Saccharomyces cerevisiae S288C: one gene and its partners. The gene in region 3 interacts genetically with the main gene of each other region. Each region holds a gene or a part of one and is shown on either strand. Other genes may lie near its edges. The genes, in order: RRG9, CBS1, MGP12 and BUD25.

The links.
Region 1: mutations in MGP12 (region 3) and RRG9 together harm fitness more than expected from each alone (negative genetic interaction), as found in Saccharomyces cerevisiae (one large-scale study listed by BioGRID).
Region 2: mutations in MGP12 (region 3) and CBS1 together harm fitness more than expected from each alone (negative genetic interaction), as found in Saccharomyces cerevisiae (one large-scale study listed by BioGRID).
Region 4: mutations in MGP12 (region 3) and BUD25 together harm fitness more than expected from each alone (negative genetic interaction), as found in Saccharomyces cerevisiae (one large-scale study listed by BioGRID).

What each region holds. Positions count from the first base shown.
Region 1 is NC_001146.8:245,960-248,845, reverse strand, and holds RRG9 (mitochondrial ribosome assembly protein RRG9), read left to right. Parts: upstream 1-1,741; coding exon 1,742-2,386; downstream 2,387-2,886. Other genes in the region: VID27 (Vid27p), read right to left, coding at 1-1,385; PEX17 (Pex17p), read right to left, coding at 2,630-2,886. UniProt on the Saccharomyces cerevisiae protein: Required for respiratory activity and maintenance and expression of the mitochondrial genome.
Region 2 is NC_001136.10:332,621-335,808, reverse strand, and holds CBS1 (Cbs1p), read left to right. Parts: upstream 1-1,998; coding exon 1,999-2,688; downstream 2,689-3,188. Other genes in the region: isocitrate dehydrogenase (NADP(+)) IDP1, read right to left, coding at 1-974; COX9 (cytochrome c oxidase subunit VIIa), read left to right, coding at 1,413-1,592; BDF2 (Bdf2p), read right to left, coding at 2,869-3,188. UniProt on the Saccharomyces cerevisiae protein: mRNA-specific translational activator of cytochrome b.
Region 3 is NC_001136.10:1,034,731-1,037,424, reverse strand, and holds MGP12 (Mgp12p), read left to right. Parts: upstream 1-1,849; coding exon 1,850-2,194; downstream 2,195-2,694. Other genes in the region: Smc5-Smc6 complex subunit NSE3, read right to left, coding at 1-230; inositol monophosphate 1-phosphatase INM2, read right to left, coding at 552-1,430; ZIP1 (Zip1p), read right to left, coding at 2,362-2,694.
Region 4 is NC_001137.3:183,231-186,700, forward strand, and holds BUD25 (Bud25p), read right to left. Parts: upstream 1,471-3,470; coding exon 1,448-1,470; coding exon of another isoform or gene 1,311-1,447; intron 990-1,310; coding exon of another isoform or gene 940-989; coding exon 501-939; downstream 1-500. Other genes in the region: HEM14 (oxygen-dependent protoporphyrinogen oxidase), read left to right, coding at 1-989; medium-chain fatty acid-CoA ligase FAA2, read left to right, coding at 1,311-3,470. UniProt on the Saccharomyces cerevisiae protein: Involved in bud site selection. Required for resistance to the DNA-damaging agent methyl methanesulfonate (MMS).

The DNA of each region.
Region 1 (2,886 bases), on a different chromosome or scaffold from region 3:
GAAATATTCTTTATGGCAGCTACAAATTCTAGAGAATCGTCTTCATCATCCGTTTTGAACACACCAATTCTGTTATCTCTTGTAACATATGACCTGTTGTTCCTAAAGGCGACAGTCAATGAACTATTACCTTTGGAAGTCGCACGCCTAGGTTCTTCAAAGGCTTCAGATGAAATGATTCTTTTGGAGTGATCGTTTTCGTCATCCTCATCTTCGCTATCATTTTCACTTTCGCTTGATTCTTTATCTCTTTCCTCATTTGATCTGTCATCTATGTGTAAAATGTCATCAAATTGCTTTTCCAATGGCACGGATGATGAATCTAAAATATAATCTTTCTCCTTTTCAGGAACGTCGGTCCACGTTTCTTTGTTCAAAGTCATCCATAAACATTTAACCCAAGCAAACCTGAATTGAATACACTTATCTAAGTCCTTAAATTTTAACATATAAGACAATGTAATGTTTTGTAGCGTATAGTTGAAAAGAAAGGCATCGGTAGCTAATTCAAAGGTAGGATTGATATTTGGGGCGACCTGAGTCCCAAGACGATTATCTTTACCTTCTATCGCTAGCCAAAATTCGTACTTGCCTGTATCAATAATTGCTACCTTTACCACGGGCTCCTGCAGAATAAATTTTTCTTGAATTGGATCATACATGTATAGGCTAGACATCACTAAACAACAATATTCCCCTTCTGGAACTTTTTTCAATGGAGAAGGAGTTCTTTCCAATATTTCACTTTCCTTCTCGTGCTCAAAAGAGGTGTCTTTAGCATCTTGAAAGTCATCTGAGCTTGAATCTAACTCGTCATCATCATCTTGAACAAAGAGCCTGGTTGATCTATGCTCTATTTCCTTTAAGTCATCTGCTGAGGCAGTGAGAGAGGATTTTTTATTCCTTACTTCGAATTGGCATCGGTAAACAGTTTGGATAAACTGTTCAACATCAGAAAACGACACATCAGCGGCAACAACAAATTGAACCTTTTCATCTTGTTCATCACCTCTTAAGTTCTCCCACACAAGCGCCACGTTTCCTTGTTTATCCCATGTTTTGTGAAACATGATTTTATCCGATATTTCAACGCTCCACTCCTCTTCTTTCTTTTTAGACTGTGTGGATAAAACACTGATGGTGTCGTCTTCAAAATTCTCAGCCTCATCTCCCGTGCCTCCTTCACTATCGTCCTCTACCCTATAAACCGCCAACTCATAATCAAATTTGCCTATTTTACGTACGCTTAAAGTTGCATTGTTGTAAATACATTCTAAAGCAGCTTTAGGGGAATTCTTAGACCTCAAAAGATTAAACTGCCCAGAAGGTATCGTGATGAGCTCTGGCTTGTTACCAGACTCCATAAACTTCTTCAAAATGTTCATCAGTCACTATAACTACTGCAGATATTATTGGACTGGATACGTAAAGAAAGAATGAAGTTTGTTTCTACTAATCAAGTTCGAATGAAGTGCTTGACTACTTTGCTTTCAGTGCTGTCCTTAAGGGACATTACTAAGTAAAAGTGATTAGTAAAAATAACAACATTCCCACAGTCGTCTAAAATGATCATAAAGCTAGTAAATATGAAATGATGGTAGAACTAAAACACCAATCACCAATGGTGTAGAAAGTCTCCAAGGAGAGTCGATCGTATACTGTTCATATCACGGTAAGCTATTTAACAAGGCACTACGTATTCCCTTCGACTTCCTTCTGAATCATTTGGTTAGCACTTGGCATGAACATTCTGCGAATAGCATGTCGTTCTTTTCATTGCCTGCGCTGCGGTCCATTACTCAATGAGAACAGGGGATGGTCATCCAAAAAGATTATTAAATTAGTCAATAAATCGAGTTTGTCCAATAAAGAGTTTACAGAAAAAGTACGAGATGGTACGAAAGACATTCCTGAGTGGAAGAAGCAGAAAATGGCAGTTAGAAAAAAATTGCAAGGCCAGAGGTGGAACCCACCAAAAAAGATATCACAGGAACAAATGGAGGCTCTAAGACTATTGAAATTCAACTTTCCTGAACTGACAGCATCTGATCTTGCAGACCGGTTCAAAATTTCTCCCGAGGCTGTTCGAAGAATTTTGAAGTCCAACTGGAAGCGTACTGATGAGGAAAACAATAACACCTACGAGAGATGGAAAAGAAGAGGAGAACGGATAAAAGAAATGTATCAAAGAAAAGAGGATGCCGATTTTGTATCCAATCAAATTGTTACTAGCAGAAAGATTATACTTGGGTCCAACTCAAATTCACCTGAATTAATAGCAAGGAATGTTCGCACTTTTAAACCTTTCAAGCCTAACAACAGTACACCTGAAAAGAAAAACACCAACAAACTATACATTTTGAAGCATTTGGGCTCGAAACAATAACACTTTTGAGGGATTTATATATTATTACGAAACTTCTTGTAGATAAAGGAACATATATATGTACATTAGAATAGAGAGCATGCAGTAATATCGTTAGTGGAACCGTTTCTGCACTTTCACTTGCAAAAATTGGTATGTGTCTTCTTAGGTACTATGAAAAATAACGGTATTGTTCGCCACTGATCAGACGGATGCGTTACGTGCACTAGAGCGTTTTAAATTCAATGCTATTATTTTTGATTGTTACCTTGGCACTTGGCCATTCACAAACCAACCTTTGATTTCTCGGATTCCCTGTATAATATTTCTTGATTTATTTGAGAAAGCTCGGGACCTATCTGTTAACTCAACCTGGTCAGTCACCATCTTAATTTGAAAGACAAAATCGTCTATACTTTCAGATGGTTGGCCTGAGGATCTGTTAAAATACTGTAATTCTTGTTTCATATTTTGCAGTTGATAAATCATTTCAGCCCAATGGCTATTATCTTCTCGTATTA
Region 2 (3,188 bases), 700 kb from region 3:
GCAGCTTCACTTTCGAAAGTTTTACCGTCTGGTGTAACTAAGATAGAAGTCATCAAACCTAAGGAGCCAAATCCTTGAGCGACGATGTCAGATTGGACATCACCGTCATAGTTCTTTAGCGCCATGATAAAGCCACCTTTAGATTTTATCATTTGAGCGACCATATCATCAATTAAACGGTGTTCATAGTGGATCCCTAGTTGTTCGAATTTGGATTTATATTGAGCTTCATAAACTTCTTGGAAAATGTCTTTGAACCGACCGTCATATTTCTTCAAAATAGTGTTCTTGGTTGACAAGAAAAGATTTAGCTTTTTGTCAATGGCCAGCTTGAAAGACGAATGAGCAAACCCTTCGATGGATTCGTCAGTATTGTACATGGCCATGGCCACACCACTGCCCTTGTAGTCATACACTTTCAAAGTTTGTGGTTGAGCAGTCGTAGGGTCGGATGGCTTGTAGACCAGTTCCAAAGATCCTGGGCCTGGGATCAGTGTGTCCGTAGCTTTATATTGATCACCGTGGGCGTGTCTTCCAATAATGATTGGTTTTTCCCAACGTGGGACCAGTCTAGGAATTCTAGGAATCACAATGGGCTCTCTGAACACTGTACCGCCGAGAATGTTTCTGATGGTACCATTAGGAGATTTCCACATCTTGTGCAGGTTGAATTCCTTCACACGAGCTTCATCAGGAGTGATGGTGGCACATTTGATACCAACACCATACTTCTTGATCGCCTCAGCAGCATCCTGAGTAATCTTGTCGGAGGTGGCGTCACGAGATTCGACAGATAAGTCGTAGTACTTCAAATCTACGTCCAAGTAGGGTAGAATCAATTTCTTCTTGATCTTATCCCAAATGATACGGGTCATTTCATCACCGTCCAACTCGACAACGGGTTGTTTGACCTTAATCTTACTGAAAGCAGCAAGGCGAGAGGTGGAAAATAATCTTCTAGATAACATACTCATGCTGGGCGATCTTCCTTGTGCGTCTGTTGTCTCACAATTGCTTGAAGGAAGATTTCATAAGATCATATGAGTCCCTCTTTATATGGGCAAGTGGAATTATGTGAGTCAAAATCCGCGCGTGACCCGTAAAGCGTTATCAGAAGGTGCAAACGGTGCTATTTAGCTCATAAAAGGAATGATTCAAGCTCTTTTGGATTGTAAGACACCTTTATTTAGTCCAAGATCATTGCAGACCCTTGTTATGGTCTTTAGCAGAGTCCTCCTCTATATCTCTTCATTTACTGCAACCTGATTGGCCCGCTACCACGATGCCCGCTTTGTTCCTGTGGTATTAAAAGAATCGATGAAAGAGACTCTTATCTTCAGGGAAAATTAGGACCGAGAATTAGAGCAAGCAAGATATTTGCAAACTACTAACTACAAGCGACTTACACAGACATGACTATTGCTCCAATTACTGGTACGATCAAGAGAAGAGTCATCATGGACATCGTCCTCGGGTTCTCCCTCGGGGGTGTCATGGCCTCTTACTGGTGGTGGGGATTCCACATGGATAAGATTAACAAGAGAGAGAAGTTCTACGCAGAGCTAGCTGAGAGGAAAAAGCAAGAGAACTGACCGAACCTGACCACTATTGTTTTTCGCATTATATTCTTATTCCTATTTATTTATCTTTTATTTTTTTTCTGTGCTGGCCTCGATTGATTACTTTTGCAAGAGTTTGTAGGGAAGGAAAACAGACAAGTCATTCTTTTCTTTCTTTTTGACCTTTATCATAATTTTCTATTTGTATAATTTGAAAAAATAGTTTTACATATTTATGTAGTGTCAAACTAAAATAAAAACAAACTTAAAAAAAGAGTTATAGAAAATGTATGTGGAGAATAAGACAGGCAGACCTTGAGTGAACTAGGAATAGTACAATATTACCTTTAGGAGGTGCCACGTACTACCCCTTTGCTTCTATTCTTCTATGGTTTCTTTATAGCAGGATAAAAGAATAAATCAGATAATGAATCTCGACATGTTGAGGACAAAAGTGTTTGCAACTACTGTTGCTCGAATATCTGGGATTCGCAGGTATATTCCCATCAGAACTATAAACACGGTGACGAAAAAGAATATTAGTAAGATAGAAAAACTGTGTGAAGTCCTTGAAGTTAATCCTGACGGATATAAAGGAAAGGAACGCATACCGACTAAAGAACTAACTAAACTGCTATATACCACAAGCAGGAATATGTTGGTACGAGTACCAATGACTGGAGACTTGAGCACAGGAAATACATTTGAAACAAGAAACGAAACTTTACAAAAATTGGGTGAACAGCTCATTCACTTGGAAATTAATAAGATGCTTACAATAACATTTACGAATTTCAATCAGTTTAATATAATGAACAAAAACTTCAATTACATTCATAACTTAGATCGAGCTCGAGTAGTGAACATGGACTCGATAAGCTGGCTTATCAAGAATTCGTTGAAAATTAACCAATTAGCTCATTTGCGAATACCTGCCAATTTGCCGAAGGAAATGGGATTAACTTCCAGCTCTAATGATTTTCAGAACTTGAACGATTGGAAAGTGATCTTATCCTTTATTGGTTACCTGAAATTACTCGAAATTAAAAACGATAACAAAAAATTCATTGAATCAATTATAAAAACTATATGCATACCTCTAATTAATTACCATTTGCGTAAATCATAGTACAAAAGAAACGATGCCTTTTTGTCCGTTATCCCTTTGTTTTATTTACAATAAGTACGTAAAAACAATTATTTCTTATTTTTGTTTATAATGTTACAAATCTTTTTTATCCCCATTCTTCCCAATTTTTTTTTTCTTTTCTTTTTTTCCTTAATTAGGGCATGAAGCCCATTTCGATTGTTAATCACTGTCACTGTCGCTACTATCACTACTGTCTTCTTCAGAATCGGAATAATTATTATTATTTATGATTTCATCCTTTTCCAAAAATTTCAAGGTTTTCTTTTTCTTGTTAGTTGGCGCAGTCGAGTAGTTGCCACTTAGTTTTCTTTTGCTATTGTTGTTATTTTTTTTCTCAAAATATCTCTCATAAATTCTTGCAATAGTCGCTTCATCTAAAATATCCAAATCAATTTCAATTTCATCTTCATTGGAAGTTAGTATTTCATCTGCGGGTAATGAATTTTTAATGATACGAATCATCCCATTCATTTCTAAAT
Region 3 (2,694 bases):
TTTATGTCCATAAACATTTTACTAAAAGACGGTTTTGCTATGTTTTCCTCGCGAGCAGCTTCATGTATAACAGATTGTAACTTGTTTCTTGTTATGATCGAATTTTGAGATTCTCCTCTCGATAAAATATACCTAACCATTTTTCTAGCTACAGGATTCTCTTTAACGATCTTGGCCACGGCTAAATCTTCTGTTAAATCCACATCGCTGTCATTATCTATAGAACTCATGCTAATGAGAAGCTTATGTTTATCGAACAACCTTCCCTTGTAGCATACTGATATAGGACCCCTTCAATCGAAGTTGATAATAAGCGCATTACTCTTCATTGAAATTTTTCTTCACGTATATCGCGCTGTTAAAGGAGAGGGCCGCATGCATGTAATACTTGCTATTCTTGAGTCAGAAGCCCACACTAAGTGACCTGTGAAATCAAGTTGCTGCTTCAAGATATCGTCCTGTACTGGAAAAAAATACTAGTAGGAATTGCGTGAAGTACTATATAAACTTTTCTTAGATGTAGCTTATTTAACGACACCTGAGGGGGGCATTTAGTATTCTAACTCACCCGCAACGTGAGGCCAAAACGATTCTGCAAATCGCTTCTGCTCCATCGACTCACATCCACCTCTAATAGCCAAGTAACATCTTCTGTCTAATGGAATGTTCCATTCTCCACAATTTCCGCCAACCATTATTCCTCCTGCTTCCTCAAGAATACACCAACCGGCACAAACATCCCAAGCCCAGCAGCCACCTTCCCAATAAGCATCAAGCATGCCGCTCGCTACGTAGCATATGTTCATGGCAGCACTTCCTGCACTTCTGAACCCGTGAACAAAGGCGCCGGACTCACTTAGTAAGTTTTTATAAGTATTCATTTTCTTATCAAAGTTTCCTTGGGAACCTTCAGTTCTTTCCGAACCTCCTTCTAAAGCAATTAAGGATTTTTGCAAAATCAATGGCCTTTTTGAAACCTTTATCTCCTGATCATTTAAGAAAGCTCCATTGCCTTTGGAAGCATGGAATAGTTGGTTTAAGTGAGGATTGAAAACCACACCAACAACCGGCTTCCCCATTTCAGCTAAACCTAGAGATGTACAACTATAGGGGTAACCGTGAATAAAATTAGTAGTACCATCGATGGGATCAACAATAAATGTAGGGCCGTTAGTTATTTTCGTGACACCTTTTACATAAGTTTCTTCTCCGATAAATTTGAAACTGGGATACTTGGCCGTTAAATTTTCCTTGATTATAGATTCAATTTGTTTGTCTAAAGCAGTTACCAAATCTACGCCATTTGCTTTATCATCATATGAACAAAAGTTTGTTCCTGCGTGCGATTTTACGAGAGGTCCTATTTTACTCCTAAGTAATTCAATAAATGTGTTCTCCACTTCCTCTAGTACTTGCCTCGTTAATACCATCGCTTCAATCTAAGTTTACTTTACAAGGGCTTGTGGAGCTTCAACTTCACTTATTCTCTATATTGTTTTCACGATTTTTTCTCCCCACGATTTCATATGTAATGAAGCAGGGTGCTTCACGGCGTTATCACTCGGAACACTGACGTTCTTTATTAAGAATTACCGTTTTAAGGGAAATAATAAGAGGTCACTTAATATGACTGTGAGAATCCATTTTTGTAGTTTTTTAGTTACTGGCTTTGGAATGTCAATATAACTGTGATTGACTTCCCTTTTTTTCGCTTTATGGGTCTATGATGTGCGCAAGTTGTTACCTTTCCGTAGAGAGTTCGGAGTTGATGCATTGTAAAGTTTCGTTTAATTCATAACAGAAATTCGTAATTATTCAGTAAGACATAAAACTTAAGGAACATATCACCATGTTGAGAGCGTTCCGCTGTTCTATACATACTTCGAGGGTATTGTTACATGATGCTGGAGTGAAATTAACTTTCTTCTCAAAGCCTAATTGTGGGTTATGCGATCAAGCAAAGGAAGTGATAGATGATGTATTTGAAAGAAAGGAATTTCATAATAAAGCAGTTTCACTAGAGATAGTCAACATAACTGACCGAAGAAACGCAAAATGGTGGAAGGAATATTGCTTCGACATACCAGTACTTCATATTGAGAAAGTTGGTGATCCTAAGTCGTGCACCAAGATCCTGCACTTTCTTGAAGAAGACGATATCAGTGATAAAATAAGGAGAATGCAATCTAGATGACCTCTTTTGTTTTTACTAGAGTTACAACACTGTAAATATTTATAAGCTATGAATAAGTATATACCTCAAAAAACTATATCTACGCTAATTTTACTATGCATACTTCTTACGCAGGGAACAAAATGAAATGTATTCGCACAAAACGATTTCAAATTTTCCATTATCCTCTATTTCCTTCTCCTTTTCTTGCTTATTTTTAATGACTGGTCTTCGTCTTCTACTAGTAGTAATTTTTTTCTTGAAGAAATTGGAGGTTTCATGCAATTTGAACCCTTCTTGATTTTTCCTCTCACTGGTTTAATTTGGATTGGGGAAGGGTTGGTTAACTCTAGGTCGTCATTTGATGATGAAGAAAGATCGAACTCATCGTTAAATTTGGATGTTTCTTTGGATGAATTAATTCTTGACTTACTTATATGATCCACCTTAGGACACTTTTTCATAGGAGAGTGAATGGCAGCAGAGTTATTAGGAAATAAGTTGGACGTCGTAGCATTTTT
Region 4 (3,470 bases), on a different chromosome or scaffold from region 3:
ACGGATCTAACACACAAGCTATGATTGATAATATGCGCGGAAAGTCAAGAAGTAAAAAAACTGAGAACCTGCACCAATCTTTAACTGGCTGCCTTAACGACTACTCAAATGCGTTTGGAAAAGACAGGTCAAAGTTATTAGACTTATCCAACACGCTAAAGAAATATCCCATGTTGGGTCTTGCTGGGGGACTAGAAACGTTTCCCAAGATAGTCAGAAATGCTTTGAACGAATTTAAAAACGTCAAAATAGTTACTGGGAACCCGGTTACGCAAATAATGAAACGCCCTGCTAACGAAACGACAATCGGATTGAAAGCGAAATCTGGCGACCAATACGAAACATTTGACCATTTAAGACTTACGATAACACCTCCCAAAATCGCTAAATTGCTACCGAAGGATCAAAATTCATTATCCAAGTTATTAGATGAGATACAATCAAACACAATAATTTTAGTTAATTATTATTTGCCAAACAAAGATGTAATAGATGCCGATCTACAAGGCTTTGGATACTTGGTTCCCAAATCCAATAAGAATCCAGGGAAATTGCTTGGTGTAATTTTCGATTCTGTTATCGAAAGGAATTTCAAACCACTTTTTGACAAACTCTCCACAAACCCAAACGCCCTCAACAAATATACAAAAGTGACTGCGATGATAGGAGGTTGTATGCTCAATGAACACGGTGTTCCTGTAGTGCCATCCAGGGAGGTAACCATTAATGCAGTCAAAGATGCGCTGAACAACCACCTCGGCATCAGTAACAAGGATCTGGAAGCTGGTCAGTGGGAATTCACTATCGCCGATAGATGTCTGCCAAGATTTCATGTAGGTTATGACGCATGGCAAGAAAGAGCTGAAAGGAAGTTGCAAGAATCTTACGGCCAAACAGTTTCTGTGGGGGGAATGGGATTTTCTAGAAGTCCCGGTGTCCCTGACGTTATTGTAGACGGCTTTAACGACGCCTTACAGCTAAGCAAATAAGTACGTATATATATGGTTAGCTTTACGCAAACTACTTCTTTTGACAATTGAGGCAGTTATCAGCTAATAAGAAAAAGTAGTTAGTATCAAAAGACACAATTTATTTATATTAACCAAATTTTTCAGAACATCCTCCGGACCGTCAGTCTTTAACGCCGAGCCGCCGATGATGGGTTGGAGTCAAAACGAGGGAACTCAATATTAATTGCGGAGTTGAGCGATGATGGGTTGGAACTATATAAAGCATCGGAAACGCATGGCTAAGGGAAGTGGAAGAATGCAGGTTACAAAAAACGGATAAGAACAAACTTGTTTCGAAATATGGCCGCTCCAGATTATGCACTTACCGATTTAATTGAATCGGATCCTCGTTTCGAAAGTTTGAAGACAAGATTAGCCGGTTACACCAAAGGCTCTGATGAATATATTGAAGAGCTATACTCTCAATTACCACTGACCAGCTATCCCAGGTACAAAACATTTTTAAAGAAACAGGCGGTTGCCATTTCGAATCCGGATAATGAAGCTGGTTTTAGCTCGATTTATAGGAGTTCTCTTTCTTCTGAAAATCTAGTGAGCTGTGTGGATAAAAACTTAAGAACTGCATACGATCACTTCATGTTTTCTGCAAGGAGATGGCCTCAACGTGACTGTTTAGGTTCAAGGCCAATTGATAAAGCCACAGGCACCTGGGAGGAAACATTCCGTTTCGAGTCGTACTCCACGGTATCTAAAAGATGTCATAATATCGGAAGTGGTATATTGTCTTTGGTAAACACGAAAAGGAAACGTCCTTTGGAAGCCAATGATTTTGTTGTTGCTATCTTATCACACAACAACCCTGAATGGATCCTAACAGATTTGGCCTGTCAGGCCTATTCTCTAACTAACACGGCTTTGTACGAAACATTAGGTCCAAACACCTCCGAGTACATATTGAATTTAACCGAGGCCCCCATTCTGATTTTTGCAAAATCAAATATGTATCATGTATTGAAGATGGTGCCTGATATGAAATTTGTTAATACTTTGGTTTGTATGGATGAATTAACTCATGACGAGCTCCGTATGCTAAATGAATCGTTGCTACCCGTTAAGTGCAACTCTCTCAATGAAAAAATCACATTTTTTTCATTGGAGCAGGTAGAACAAGTTGGTTGCTTTAACAAAATTCCTGCAATTCCACCTACCCCAGATTCCTTGTATACTATTTCGTTTACTTCTGGTACTACAGGTTTACCTAAAGGTGTGGAAATGTCTCACAGAAACATTGCGTCTGGGATAGCATTTGCTTTTTCTACCTTCAGAATACCGCCAGATAAAAGAAACCAACAGTTATATGATATGTGTTTTTTGCCATTGGCTCATATTTTTGAAAGAATGGTTATTGCGTATGATCTAGCCATCGGGTTTGGAATAGGCTTCTTACATAAACCAGACCCAACTGTATTGGTAGAGGATTTGAAGATTTTGAAACCTTACGCGGTTGCCCTGGTTCCTAGAATATTAACACGGTTTGAAGCCGGTATAAAAAACGCTTTGGATAAATCGACTGTCCAGAGGAACGTAGCAAATACTATATTGGATTCTAAATCGGCCAGATTTACCGCAAGAGGTGGTCCAGATAAATCGATTATGAATTTTCTAGTTTATCATCGCGTATTGATTGATAAAATCAGAGACTCTTTAGGTTTGTCCAATAACTCGTTTATAATTACCGGATCAGCTCCCATATCTAAAGATACCTTACTATTTTTAAGAAGTGCCTTGGATATTGGTATAAGACAGGGCTACGGCTTAACTGAAACTTTTGCTGGTGTCTGTTTAAGCGAACCGTTTGAAAAAGATGTCGGATCTTGTGGTGCCATAGGTATTTCTGCAGAATGTAGATTGAAGTCTGTTCCAGAAATGGGTTACCATGCCGACAAGGATTTAAAAGGTGAACTGCAAATTCGTGGCCCACAGGTTTTTGAAAGATATTTTAAAAATCCGAATGAAACTTCAAAAGCCGTTGACCAAGATGGTTGGTTTTCCACGGGAGATGTTGCATTTATCGATGGAAAAGGTCGCATCAGCGTCATTGATCGAGTCAAGAACTTTTTCAAGCTAGCACATGGTGAATATATTGCTCCAGAGAAAATCGAAAATATTTATTTATCATCATGCCCCTATATCACGCAAATATTTGTCTTTGGAGATCCTTTAAAGACATTTTTAGTTGGCATCGTTGGTGTTGATGTTGATGCAGCGCAACCGATTTTAGCTGCAAAGCACCCAGAGGTGAAAACGTGGACTAAGGAAGTGCTAGTAGAAAACTTAAATCGTAATAAAAAGCTAAGGAAGGAATTTTTAAACAAAATTAATAAATGCACCGATGGGCTACAAGGATTCGAAAAATTGCATAACATCAAAGTCGGACTTGAGCCTTTAACTCTCGAGGATGATGTTGTGACGCCAACTTTTAAAATAAAGCGTGCCAAA